Oryzias latipes: one gene and its partners. The protein of the gene in region 3 binds, or shares a complex with, the protein of the main gene of each other region. Links are inferred from orthologs where the notes say so. Each region holds a gene or a part of one and is shown on either strand. Other genes may lie near its edges.

Region 1 (4,412 bases), about 20 Mb from region 3:
AATACAATGGCTAATTTAAAATCAGTGTGCAGGTTTTTCACAATTTCATGATCTTTTTATATATTTATGAGAGATTTATTGGTTGATTGTGTTTGTTCATGAGGCCATATTTATTTATTGAATTAAATATTTATTTATTTAATTATGAACAGTATAGGACTCCATAGATTTTATGCAGATGTCAGATAAAAAAGATGGTTAAAGGTTTAATCGATTGTCTGAGGTGTTATAATTGGAATAGTTTTAAAATACATATTCTTATCTTCAGCAGCACAGTAGTGTCTTCTTGCTGCTTATAGGCAAAGTTACTAAAAGTATATACCTGCAAGTAAATCTGCTGCAGCGAGGATCTCATTTGACACAAGGCGTATTTTATTTTGAAAGGAACATGTATGAGCTGCTGTCAAAAGTAGAAGCTAAAGTTGTTATCAATAGAAAATGTTAACAGAAAGTATTATATAAAGGCTACATTTTTTAAGTGAATGGTTTAATAGTCACACAATCATAAATAAAATGTACTTTTCTGAATAATAAAGTGACTTTTTCGCTCTTGCTGCGTTTTGGTCACTAGGAAACAAACCCAAGTGGCTATTTTGGCATAAAAGGTTGTAAACCCCTGTTTTAGAGCATCACAAAACTTTATGTATGTCAAAATAAAGTTCTTTTATTCTTTTGTTAAACATGTTGTTTAAGGTAACTTATTACAACTGCATAGAGTTGTTTCAAAAAGAAAAAAGTGAAGAGCACTGGTGTGAACTTTATTCTTTTATTGGACATTTATAAATTCACTTTCAAATCTTTTAAATTAACCAATCAGGGCATTTTTTAGCACTTTTGAGGCAGAAAGAAGAAAAGCTCACCGACACAGGATGAATGACATAAATACTATTTATTGAATCCACCAATAAAACCATTAAATACCAGAAAGTCTGGACAATTCTATAAGAGATAAACTTGACAGAATGACGCCTTACCACAGCAGCAGTCGTAAATAGCTTAAACAGACTAGAAGGGAAGAGAGGAAGATCTCATGCAATAGAGAAAGACTGCAGATCAGGCGACCAGGAGCCCCGGCGACCAGGAGCCCCGGCGACCAGGAGCCCCGGCGACCAGGAGCCCCGGCGACCAGGAGCCCCGGCGACCAGGAGCCCCGGCGACCAGGAGCCCCGGCGACCAGGAGCCCCGGCGACCAGGAGCCCCGGCGACCAGGAGCCCCGGCGACCAGGAGCCCCGGCGACCAGGAGCCCCGGCGACCAGGAGCCCCGGCGACCAGGAGGCCCGGCGACCAGGAGCCCCGGCGACCAGGAGGCCCGGCGACCAGGAGGCCCGGCGACCAGGAGGCCCGGCGACCAGGAGGCCCGGCGACCAGGAGGCCCGGCGACCAGGAGGCCCGGAGGCCCAGCTTTATCAGAGACGCACGTACAGAAGAAACTAAACACATACAAACATTTCTTCTGTAATATTTTACCATTAATTTCTATGTAAATTATCTGCTCAAACTGACAAAAATATTAATTGATTTGATGCAAAAAATAAACCATTACATTTTTCAAGAAACACTTTGATTAAGACACTGATTAGTTATGGAACCTGGAGAAAATGTCAGCTATTTACAGTTAAGTAGAAGCATAAATCAATGCTGCGGGACGAGAAACACAAACTTGCATCCTGGGAGTAAGAATACGTTGAAATTGACTTTTTCCAGCAGTGACTGGCATGACTAGACCAGAAGGGGGCGAAAGGCACATGATCTAAATGGCTTCTCTCAGCTGATAGGCTGGAAAAGCCTCTCATCATCCTCATGCTGGCTTTGGTTTTACTACATGAAGCCGCAAAGGAAGGGCTTCGTGTTGTAACATGAACGGCAGAGGGACCGGCAGAGAAAGAAAAATCAAAGAAAACAGCAATGAAGAACCATACCAAATTGTACAACCTTGTGTAAACATCTCATCCAATGACAAAACACTTCTGCACGATTCTGCCTTTCAGCGCTTTCAGCCCTGAATGCACCACTGACCCCTTCAAAAGGTTGGAAAAGTACCATCTGAGTGTAACAAACTCCAGGGCTTTGTTTCTGTAGCCACGTTTCCAAAAACGATGAGCAGAGAGAAAAAAGTAGTGGATTTTGGATAAAACAAACATGACTGATATAACTGGTAACATTTACTTCTAATGTGCGATTCAGCCCAGCGTCAGATATATTTATCAATTTAATACAGATCAACTTGTACAGAAGTTTGTAACAGAAAAAATAAAATAAAATAGTCTTAGATAATTGGACATTGCATGCAATATTGACGTGGCCAACAGGAGGCGTTTCACTTCTATAAATAACTAGGAGACGCTCCTTTATCACATGATGAAGGTGACAAGCAGCTGATATCAAAGAAGAACCGGATTAAGAGGAAACTAAAGTGTCAAATATTTCTTCATAGGAGAGTAATTTTCAAGAGTCTGTACATTACAGTGTGCAACTGGGATGTGTGTGCTTCATCCATGTATCAGCTATCCGAGTGTTGCTGTGGGCTCAGGGTTTGGTGGTGGGGGTGACGATGGGAGGCACGGGGTTTCCGGTGGGAATGACGCCGGTGGCCAGCAGCACGATGATGAGGATGATGACGAGGACGATGACCACCAGCACCACCACCAGCTTGACGTTCTTCCACCAGTAAGAGCGGGCGACTTTCTGTGCCGTGTGCTTGAAGTGCTGAGCCTGTGCGAGGGAGGGGGGAGAAGAGAAGAAAGCCAGTCAGGAGGGGAATGCTTCTGATGGATCGGGTACAAGACCTCAAACTAGGGTGGTGGGGTCATGTGACAGATGGAAGACAGCAGCTAAAAGAAGGAACGACTCATGCATGGAGATCACTTTGACGAACAGGCACCATCAATATTCTAGGATTAAACTAAAGAAATAACATCAGATTCCTGAGAGAATTTACTGCTAGAGAGGAAAATAAGCAACTACTTTCCCAATTCCAGTCTCAAGCTACGTATACATCTTAAGCCCTTGGTGTTCACACTGGACTAGCGAACCTGTGCTGTTTACCAGCACATGTCCACCACCTATAGTTAGCAGAATTCTTTCACAGTTTCATTCCAATATATAAAAGACTTGAAGTCAAAGAATTCCATCTGGGCACAAATCACAGTTATTCATTTCTCCTCCATGCTCAATGTTCAAATGGTTGACACTTCCTTGAATGACAAAGATGTCTTCCATTCGCCTCTACCAAATCTGACTCCCTGATTGGTCAAAGTTCAGCCTGGTTTAACCCTTTAACCCTTCACGTAGCAATCTAGTCAGAAGTGAGGTGCATCTAATGTTCTCATTTCGAACAGTCAGGCTAAACGCGGGGAGCGTCCACTTATCACTTGACCAGCGCTAACCGGCTCCCTACGCAGTGCGCATGGTTTGAGGAGATTGAAATATCGTCAAGGGTAGTGACTAATGCTGCGTTCACACCGAACGCGAAACTCCCGTCTGCTGCCTGCTGTTTGACAAACGGCAAATCCTCTGCTTCACGCTTAGACTTGGTGCTCCCGATGCATGTGGGAGGAGCTACCGTCAAACCTTTTTAGCCTCATCAATACATGGAAGCCTTGACTGCTTATCTACAAACCCCAAATGCAGCAAATGCTTGGAAGACACGGACATGTTGAGAGGTCAAGTTATTCTTTATGAAGGGTTCTACAAAAGCACCAATAATCACGTCTGCATGTCTGGATTCATGATATTCACAGACTCTCCCAATTTGATGCAAATCTACCTTAAGGCTCGTCAGTAAGGCTAATTTATTATATCAACTACCTCATGAAGTTTTGTTTATAATAAAAAAAAAATGTAGCAGAACATGCATCAGCTTAGCTTGAAGTCTTTCTACAGCAGACAAGTTCATAGATCACTAGAAAAACATCCCAGCCTCACAAAAAGACTAATGACTGAATGTTATTATTTGCACCTATATTTATAGCTGATTGAAATGGACACACAGTGAAATGAGAAACGGGCGAAGCCATCAGCTCCACCTGTGCTGTACCTGCTTCAGTAAAATCAAAGCTTTCAAGGTGAGGAGCCCAGTGTACCCGTGTGGTGAGACGTCTGAGGCGGAGACACTTTTTCTTACAGTTTTTCTCCATTGGTTTGGCTCAGTTCTTGAAACAGAAATTACATTCTCCAAACAACATGGACAAACATCCAAACCACTTTCTCATTGGTTTCCTCAAATTGCAAATGTCTTAGTACAAGTCTAAATGTCTCCGTACATCTTTCAATTGATTAAGTACAGGTAGCCTTTATTTAGCACAATTGTCAAGTGAATAGATCTTTTTGATCTAAACTGATTGTTGATTCTCAGTCTAATGGTTGTTCACTCCAAAATCAGTCCGCGTCATTTCATTGTGTAACTCATCAC
Region 2 (5,270 bases), on a different chromosome or scaffold from region 3:
CCAACCATGTGTACAAGCATGCAAGTACTTAAACACAAACACACATCTTTGAGGCTTAAAAAGGCTTTTTCCTGCCCAGATTTAAAAAATATATACATTTTTTGGTTTGAAAAATATTTGTAAAATCCTTTTATTATAATTTTGTTGTAAGTACTTTTCAGTGTTGTATCACTTCCTTTGCATCAGGTCTGCATAAGCTTTAAAAGTACAAAGAAAAATGACAGCTGCTTAGATTTGCTGCATGATCTTGAACTTGAACTGAGAATTCTGGGATGTTCTGACTTCCCAAGCACATTGACAGGCAATGTGTGTGTGTGTGCATGTGTGTGCGTGTGTCTGTCATCATGTTCATCATTATGTGTAGTGATTTATGAACTTAAAAATAATACCATTCAATGATCCAGTGCAATCATGTTAATGTGGTCCAATTCAATTCAAATTGATGTTTGAATATGGGCATTTGTGAGCACAGATATCCATATCAAACTAAAGGTTTTCTACAGTGAGATCGATTTTATGGAACATTAAATACATTTATGAGCTTGGAAATTGCGAAGCATAACTGAGTTAAATTCTACACAAAAAGGTTGCATCCCAACAGATTTATATGGTTGGAAACTCCTCCTCAATTTAAAATAAAAAAGTGCCTGAACTAAACGGAAATGTGAAAAAATGGTAGGGTAACTCTAAAAATGAGTGAAATGTGAGATTAAATTAAAACCTTTTAGCATTTAATTCTTAAAATATTTTGTTGAACTCTGTTCATGACAGCTGGACTAACTCCTATTAATGAACAGCACAAGGTACATCCTAAAGCTTTTGAGACCGCTGGACTACTTGATTCATTTATTTTTTGACAAATGCATTTTACTGCAGACAAACATCATTAATTTTGATTCTTCTTGTGTGACATATTTTATAGGACATTTGAGTGTCGGTCTTGACTTTAAATTACTTCCAAGACATATGATTGACTCTTCATTTGTTCTCTTGGATACTTTTTGCACCTTAATGGATAAAGGTACCAGTTTGCTGGCCTGACACCAGCCTTTGATCTTTCAGTGAGAAAAACATAAGAAAATCAGAAAATGTCATCTCAAGGCAAAGATAATTTACAGATGAACAGGAAACCTGTACAGACATGCATGCTGGGAAATTTAAAATGTAAACATCCACCCTTTATTTCATATGTTTACATACGGTTTTTGATTAGTTTAGAGAAACTAGTTGTACCTGAACAGTTCTGCTGGCATTAATATGCTCCTGATGGAGGCGATCCCATTGCTGGCTATGCTGGTACTGTAAATATTAAGGGGGGGAAAAAAACAAACACTTATACAACTGAGCTTTGGATGTGATCCTACGTCCAACCAGGTTTCAGCCGTCACCTTAAGTATGTTACTGTGGTGTTTCTGTAGCCGCTCCAGGTCTGTGGGTAGAGCCACTTTAATGAACTTGTGGATTGGAGCCTCCAGGCGCCTCAGTGTCAGCTTGTTGCCTTCCTCTGCCATGTGTCCTGCTGCGTAGTGCCCACAGCCAACACCTTTGTGCAACTCAAGACTCTCCACCTGCTCAGCTTTTTCTCACCGTGCCCACACACTGTAAATACCAGGAGAGCAGGGTTTTGGTAAATGTACAATTCAAATGGATAAATGAGTTGATACAAGCATAATAGTGGAGACATTGACACTCAACTTTGGGAGGTTTTCCTCATGGCATTGTCCTGTATCCATTGAGCAAAAACTAAGTCAAAGCTGTTACAGAGAATAAAGGCTGAATGTTGAACATACACATTTTTGTATGTTTGGTCATATTATGTGACTCCTGTAGGTCTATTTTATACATAGGATTTGTAGCAGGAACCAAAAATGCTGTTGATGTTTCCCAAACTACCACTGGCTGGAGACACTCTAAGACCTTAAATAACTGATTCTGATCTCGAGCCTTTCCTTTTCTAAACTCTGAGACATTCATTGGAAAAAAATAACTATAAATACCCTGTGACTTTCCAAAGGGATTCAGCAAGTTTTGAAGGTAAATGGATGGATATAAATGTTCCTCTCATTTCACACATATAATTAAATCAGTAAGCAACCTTTCATTTTTTGTCCATAGTCTGGGTAAAGTTAAAGTCACATTAGTTGTAATTGACAGGTCAGGTAGAACTGCAAAGATGGGTCGAATCAAACGCTGAGCGTCAAGCTTGATTGGCATTGGGTCCCAATTTTTAGGCATTGGTGTGGCCCAACTGTGGATACCAAACCTATAACTTTCCAGTTTCAGGAGTAGTGTGACACAAGAGATGCAGTAGTTCAAACTCATTTCCTGGATGTGCGTAGTTGGTGAAGAACTGACTTTAGCAGCTTTCCAGTCTTTCCGAATGCCTCCCAAATTTTATCTGCGTATCTTTTTTTAAACATTTTTTCCCCCAGTTGACTAACAGTCAGTGTGCTTGAAAAAAGCACTCTTTGAATCTCCTTGTGCAGAGGATCTGTGTCAGTGATCAGTTTCTGAACACCTGTGTAGTTCAAAGTCTTCCAAATGATAGATGACCAACTGATCTAGATTGACAGACCTTTTGAGGTGTTTAAATTAATTATCAATAAAGACTGTGACAGTCACAGCGGTTAATATGAAACTTTTCAAAAATATTCACATTTTATGTAGATTTGAATATGGGTTTTCATTGGCTGCAAAATTTATTAACCATTATTCCAGATGTTCGAATTTATTGAGATACATATGATATGAATAGTTCGAGACCCAATTTATAAAGAAGAGGTCCATTTGTTTAGAAATCATGAGATACTCTGACAACTCACTTTCCCAATAGTTGTCTTTATGAATTATGTCGGCTTGCGACCCACCTAGTGCAGGTCGAGTTAAAAATACATTTTTACGTTTAGCGAAACATGTTTTCATAAACGAAACATAATTCCATTACCTCCGTTTACTTCGGGCTGGTCTCAGACAGGAAGTGATATTGCATCACCGTCAGCTAACTCACTAACAGTACAGTTGCTGACACACAGTACGTGAAAAGTTTACCCGACAATTCAAAAAGGCAACAAAAAATAGTAAGCTTCTATCACGTATTATAGTATTAACAATACTGTAGCATGTAGGCAAAAATGACGTCATAAGATTAATAAAAAACAAGCAGCTGTGTAAGGCAACTTAACATAATTGCGGTTCCTTCTTCTTACCATTAACAAAACCCGTCGACGATATGATTTTCATCTATTAAATACCGTAATGACCCATCAAAAAATCTTAAATGTAGTTATGCAAATAAATGAAATACGTTTGAAGGTCTTTGTCGATTTTTGCTCTTCTGACAAGTTGTTTGTAAACAAAATCCTTCCCAGTGCATCTACGAAAAGTTTCCGACCTCAAACAGCAGTAGTGCACACATCTGTTCCCCACATTCAAAACTTTTCATTTTCTTCGGGGGAAAAAATTTAAGAATGTAAAAGCTTTCTGTGCCCTAATAATTCAAAGTTTTTATATAAATAAATAAATAAATAAATAAATAAATAAATAAATAAATAAATAAATATATATATATATATATATATATATATATATATATATATATATATATATATATATATATATATATATATATATATATATATATATATATATATATATATATGTTTTTTATAATTATATAAAAGAGAGCATTAACAATATATATATATATATAAAAATTGGGGACAGAAATTCCGTGTTGTAATTATGCAGCAACTATGAAAGCTGTTTTATCAATGCCTAAAAATAAAGTTTCCTTTACAAAAAAATAAGAAGAAGCTAAGAATCAATTTTCTCTAATTGTCCTCAATCCATAGGCTCAATTATGTATCCACACAGAAAGGACAACTTGGCTTGTCTGTAAACATTTTTCATCTTTATAACATATTATATGCTATTTTCACAAAGCTGCAATATTATGGATGTTGTAATATTGAGGACAACATCTATCTATATTAAAAAATTTACAGCTATTTTAGGAAAAGCGTGATAATGCTCTCTGTTAAAATTAATAATAATGGATTGAATTTTTCTGTGCTTTTCCAGACGCCCAAAATGCTTACACAGTGTATCTATTTATCATTCCCTCCTCATTCATACTTGGTGATGTTAAGCTGCAAATGTAGCGGACTGACAGAGGTGTTGCTGCCAACACGAACACGTGCCCACGTCCCCTCTGACCATCATTCATACTCGTTCACACAGCAGTGGAGCCACGCTAGAGGCGGGAAGGTGAAGTCTCCTGCCCAAGGACACAACAACAGTTGACTGGGAGAGTGGGGATTGAACCGCCAATTCCTTCGATCATTGCTCGACCTACTCAACCACCTGAGCCACTGCTGCCTAATTAGACATGTTTAAACCTTTCCTGACACATTTTTTGGAAAGTTATAGAAATGTACAGAGTTCATTGTACAAGAAGTTTTGTGGCTAGGTAACATTTGGTGCCAGAGGTGGGTGGGGTCTTTGCATTTAGTGTTTTACACAATATTTCCGAACTGCGGATCGTTGCCCTATGATACATGAAATGTGAAAATGACAAATGAAACTGTGGGACATTTTAAAATGTGACATTATCATGACAACCAGACAGTAAAAAAAAAAAACAAACCAAGCAATGTAAAGCTCCAGGTAATTTTTATGAAAAAAAACTCAAAGCAAACATGCCTCACAGTTTACTCTGTGGCTGATCACTCCCGTGGAACATTTCATTAAGTGAGATATTTTTGCCTGTGTTGACTTAGGAAGACCGAGGAAGACAGAGAATCGGGGTTCCCCCTCCTTTAGTCTGAGATCACTCTGTGTGAGTGGGCCTGTCCCATGTTTCCACTTATCTTCTTCAGCACTTTTTACCTTTGACATTTAGGCCAACCCCCACACACTCTTTTCCCCCAGCGGATGCTCCACACGAGGGGCCACAGCAAAAAGCACAGTCCCAGTTACAGGGGATTTCCCCAGGTACTAGCACATGTTGTGAGTCTGTGTCTGTGTGTGTTCTGTCCACTCTCAGGGGACTCCCAGACTTGCAGACTGAGGGGGAGGAACAAAACTGACAGCGAAAGTTTCAATAGCATCAAACATATTTTTCATCGTGTGTCTCCTATCAGTTTTACTATTAAAAAATGGCCGGAGAGTTTTCGTTGTTTTGAGCTGAACTCCATCACAATCACGAGAATCAACAGGTGGAGACTGAATCTTTAGGACTGGAATCCAAGTTTTCAGGAAATGAGTGGATG
Region 3 (4,278 bases):
CAGAATATCGGGCATTCGTTGATTTACAGGTCACATTCAATGGTCGGAGGAGAACACAAATAAGCAGAGGAAAAAAATGCAGAATGTTGAGACAAAACATCACAAAAAAAACATTTTAAAGTAGCAAAGTGACCAAAACATGATAGGAAAAACAATCATTTTAACCAAAGAAGTGCAAAATATGAGAAAGAGCACGTAAATATAAAGAAATAATCACAAAAAGACATTATAATCCGCAATAAATAAGAAATTACCACGTGTCCAAATAGGATCTTTCATAAAGCACAGAATTCAGGCAAAAGAGTAACAAACAAATGGTCCACCAAAAAAGAAAATAATTTTTTGAACTAATTTTGTCTTTAAAAGGGTTTCAATTCATAAAAAGTATAATTTACTGTGCTTAGAAACTCTTTAAATAGCAAGTTACTATGCTTATCCATCACACGTGTAACAGAAAAACCATTAGGCATAACAAAAAGCGTACTCGTGTAGACATGCCCGGGGGGCCTCAAGGGGCCCCTGGTAGCGGGTACCCCCATCTTCCTTTCTGTCGCGCCCCCAACTCAAATGTCCTTCAAAGAAGCCTGAACTGTAATTACCAAGTCATGCTAAAGACTGCTTGTTGCGGCTGCATGAGCAGCTGGTTTGACGCAGAGGAATGATAATGAATGGACATCATCTCTGCGTGAGGACATGAGCAGAAGGCGCTCATCACACTAAACGCTCACACATCATCGGATGCTCATTTGACTAAAAACAAAAAGCAGCACAGATGTTGGTTTGAAATATGCCCCTTGATATTACAATTACCGGTATTAATAGTTAAAACACATTTGTTTCCTTCTAATAATTTTCTTCTAATTTTGCGTTTTATACTATAATTATTGGGGAAATTTGCCATTTAATATAAATAATACCAAACCAGGATTTTTACGATGGTCATTTAGTTTTTAATCCTGAACCACAGTGCCACCTAGTGGTAATTTGACCTCACTAATCCATCAACACAAAAGTTTTTTTTAACTTTAGTCAAAAAAGTATTCGCAGAACACATGGAAGTTCCTTGATTAAGCTTTTATTGGATATCTGTGCTTGATTACACACAAACATGAACTTATGTAGGAATTTTGGCCAATTTAGTACTGTGATTTATTTGTCTGAAGAAAAAAAGAAAAGAAAAATCAGAGAAATAATCATTGTATTCCAATGGTGCAAGTTTTCCTTCATCTCTTATGTTTACAATCAAAACTAAAATATTTGAGATATTTATTTGATATTTAAGAGGTGTTTTATAGAACAATTTATCAAATGAAATGTAACTGTGAATCAAAACCAAAGAAAGTACGTGTAAGGCAAACGTGACTTGAGCTTGTTTACTGCTTGTTTTTCTTTTTATACATCAACTGGGGTCAGATCCGGATCTGTCCTTACATCAGGAACATCTTTAAAAAATTAAATAACAACAAGTCTTTTTTTTCAACAGATGGTTTCCTTTTTATCTGTAAAATATTTCACATTTTATTTTGAATGACAAAAACTTGGTGATGAAGAAAATCTATTGTAAAAATTAAAAAAAGGAGTGAAAGAAGATTTTCCAAAGACAAAAAAAAAAAGACAGTAAATTGAACTGAAATGAAGGGTCAGACGTGGAAATGTCAGAGTGTGGGTCCTACAGCTTTTTAAGCTGTTGGTTTGTGTTACTGATCTTCCCATCCATCATGTCCACTTTGCTTAGAAGTGAACCAATAGAGTCGTCCTGGCTGTCAATTTCCGACTGGAGTCCAAGTCCGAGGTTCTTCAGTCTTTGCAAGCCTCCACACATTTCATCTAAATCAATCACAGCAGATGTGGTTAAAGAAGTCACATTTCAACCACATTTTTTTCAACAAAAAAACTGAACATATCCCACAATTCATCACTGTGTAAAATCACTTTTAACCCCCATTACCTCATTACATTTACTTTAAGACTATATGACAAATATATCAATTTTGGGGTAAATTTAGCCTTTTTATTCTTTGCAGCGTTTACCCTGTTTAGTAAGGTTTGCAGTCATTTGCTAATACGAACATCTCTTAAGGTGGACTGTTTGAATGTGCACATATAACACTTGTGTAAATGGCATATACCATGCTATTTTTAAGACTTTAATAGTAAACAATATCCCACGAATATGATAATATTTTACCTTTGGCACACAAAATAACAATTTTTTTTTTATTAAATACGAGTTATTTTCGCAAGTTAATTTTCCAAGTTGGAAGTAAATTGACTCAGTCTCTGAGGCACCACCTTTCGCTCCTTGTGGGTGCCGCAAATTTCATGACATCAACCTATAGTCGGCCTCGCTAGCGTGTCTGCATTTCTCCAGACTCCTCCTGTAAGGTGCAGCTCTCACTGGTCTTCGTCAGCTTGTGATAACCCACTCGTTTTTGTGGATAAGGAGGGGCTGGTGCTCAGAGAAACGTTTTTTAGAGGAATACTTAGAAATGCTTGAATGGATCAGAATACCGGTTTGGGGTTTCTTTTCATAAGGAATGAACATTATAATATACTTAAAGCTCAAAAAATAGATTTTGCATAGGCCTCTCAAAAAATCATGCAGCAACAGCTGCTTGTTTGGGTGCAGTGTTGTCTGAAAGAAACTCTGACTACAAAGTGTGTTATGTTGCATTCATAGTGTAATGAACCACACCAGGGTTCCCTTGCAAATGAGACCAGCCAGGCCCTTTCAGGCAGACCACATCGTGTTGATCAAGCATTCTTATTTAAAAGGAAGTTTAAATGTCATTTTAAGAAATTACTCAACCCTATAACCGAAATACAAAGTGTCCTGTTAGATTTCTTACCCAAGTTTTTGTCAAGGGTCTGATGAGCCTCTCTGAGGTGTTGGTTCTTAGGGTATCCATTCTGTCTAGGTAAACCCCCATCTACTGAGGAAGAAGCTCCAAAACCTGGAAGCGAAGATCACAAGTATGTAGGATGTACTGTGACACGTTTGAACATTGACATTTTCATGTTCATCCTTACCTGATGTTTCCAGTTTCCTCAGGTTGGGGTGGCTGGCTTGATACTTGTCTTCATATTCTCTGCTGTTGGACAGAGCGCTCTGTAACCTAAAAAATAACCCACAGAAAAAGTATTCATGTATATAATTCAAAACCGTTCATATAGACAGTAGAAAATAGTATCATATCATAGTAGGAGGTATTTTATCTGACCTAGCATTGGCTCACATTTATGGAGAGCTTGCATTTTTGCATACTAGCTCAAGGTGACTGTTTTTGTGACTTTATTGTTGTTTATTGTTATATTTTACATCCATCCAGAGTATATGACTGCTTTGTAAACAGTTGTGAGAGGCGGTTTGTTTGATAATGTTTCTGTTGGGCTCTCTACATGGATTCGTCTGTAGCTGTGCTGATATTTAAGGACGTGTGTAGGAAGAAGTGAAAGCACCTTCCTTAAAGAACAGACAAGATGTACAGAGTAAAAATAAAACAAGTCCACTCTGGCTTTTGAAAATGTTTTGTGCATTCTGGTGTAATGAACAAATATGGTAAGTTTTCCAAAAGCAGATTCGGTTTAATCAAATGTAGTCTTGGTAACACAGTGTACAAAATAAAATGCCCTTGAGCAAGGCTCTTAACTCCTACTCAGAGCTCCCAGGAGCAACAGTAGTTTCACTTTGCAGCTCCCAGGTGTCAATGTGAAACTGTTTCAATGTGAAACTATCAGTGTGAATAAAACATTCTAAAAAAAGTGGGCTGCCTTTCAGATAACTTTTTTTTTATTCAAAAGTTTCTTTAAAAAATTAAGAAATTGAAAAAAAATTAAATGTATTTTTAATTAGTTAACTTTACAAAACAATATTTTTTTATTCGAAATATAAAGCTTTTTTTGTAAGCATTTTTTTTCAGAATTGTCAATCTTTTCCCCCCAAAACTGATTTAAGACTTTTAAAAACAGACTAAAATTTGAGACAGAGATCACTCTCTTGTCTTGGGGGTTTTGAATATTATTCCTGTAAATGTAGGACAAGATTGAGCCTGAAAGGTGTTAGAAGTGAGTAAAAATAATCACCAAACACGTAAATGACATGTTGGATTCTCTGAAAAGGAAAGTTGTGTTTATAAGAAGCTGAAACCAATGTTAAATAAGTAAGGTAAGAATATTTAAAAAGATTCTGGATTTCAATTAATGTTAACTGTAAAATGATGACAGTCAACAAGCACTTCTAATCTAAAGAAGAAATAAGTAAAGCGTACCTTTCATTGG

The links.
Region 1: the proteins of snap29 (region 3) and vesicle-associated membrane protein 8-like are in contact, whole or in part, in a crystal structure (PDB 4WY4), measured with the Homo sapiens proteins. The link is inferred for Oryzias latipes from reciprocal best matches to the Homo sapiens genes SNAP29 and VAMP8. Residues at the interface, in NP_004773.1 of Homo sapiens: Leu206, Leu209, Ser210, Leu213, Leu216, Lys217, Ala220, Leu221, Met223, Gln224, Ile227, Glu228, Gln230, Asp231, Leu234, Leu237, Thr238, Val241, Asp242, Leu244, Asp245, Ile248, Lys249, Thr251, Glu252, Val255, Arg256, Leu258; in NP_003752.2 of Homo sapiens: Leu16, Glu19, Val20, Val23, Ile26, Met27, Gln29, Asn30, Arg33, Ile34, Arg37, Asn40, Leu41, Leu44, Lys47, Thr48, Asp50, Leu51, Thr54, Ser55, His57, Phe58, Thr61, Ser62, Val65, Lys68, Phe69.
Region 2: the proteins of snap29 (region 3) and stx17 are in contact, whole or in part, in a crystal structure (PDB 4WY4), measured with the Homo sapiens proteins. The link is inferred for Oryzias latipes from reciprocal best matches to the Homo sapiens genes SNAP29 and STX17. Residues at the interface, in NP_004773.1 of Homo sapiens: Arg52, Thr56, Ser59, Thr60, Arg62, Ser63, Leu66, Glu69, Ser70, Val73, Gly74, Ser77, Glu80, Leu81, Gln84, Val87, Leu88, Thr91, Met94, Val95, Lys97, Met98, Asp101, Leu102, Ile104, Ser105, His108, Ile109, Ser111, Ile112; in NP_060389.2 of Homo sapiens: Glu170, Trp172, Glu173, Leu175, Glu176, Leu179, Ile180, Ser183, Val186, Thr187, Phe189, Ser190, Val193, Asn194, Gln196, Gln197, Ile200, Ile203, Ala204, Val207, Asn208, Ala210, Ala211, Val214, Glu215, Thr218, Leu221, Gly222, Ala224, Ala225.

The regions. Positions count from the first base shown.
Region 1 is NC_019867.2:25,800,552-25,804,963, forward strand, and holds the end of vesicle-associated membrane protein 8-like, read right to left. Parts: intron 2,714-4,412; coding exon 2,528-2,713; 3' UTR 871-2,527; downstream 1-870. UniProt on the Homo sapiens protein: SNAREs, soluble N-ethylmaleimide-sensitive factor-attachment protein receptors, are essential proteins for fusion of cellular membranes.
Region 2 is NC_019874.2:17,622,803-17,628,072, reverse strand, and holds the start of stx17 (syntaxin-17), read right to left. Parts: upstream 3,394-5,270; 5' UTR 2,945-3,393; intron 1,600-2,944; 5' UTR 1,512-1,599; coding exon 1,389-1,511; intron 1,300-1,388; coding exon 1,234-1,299; intron 1-1,233. UniProt on the Homo sapiens protein: SNAREs, soluble N-ethylmaleimide-sensitive factor-attachment protein receptors, are essential proteins for fusion of cellular membranes.
Region 3 is NC_019867.2:6,082,665-6,086,942, reverse strand, and holds the end of snap29 (synaptosomal-associated protein 29), read right to left. Parts: coding exon 4,269-4,278; intron 3,117-4,268; coding exon 3,031-3,116; intron 2,955-3,030; coding exon 2,850-2,954; intron 1,828-2,849; coding exon 1,670-1,827; 3' UTR 1,060-1,669; downstream 1-1,059. UniProt on the Homo sapiens protein: SNAREs, soluble N-ethylmaleimide-sensitive factor-attachment protein receptors, are essential proteins for fusion of cellular membranes.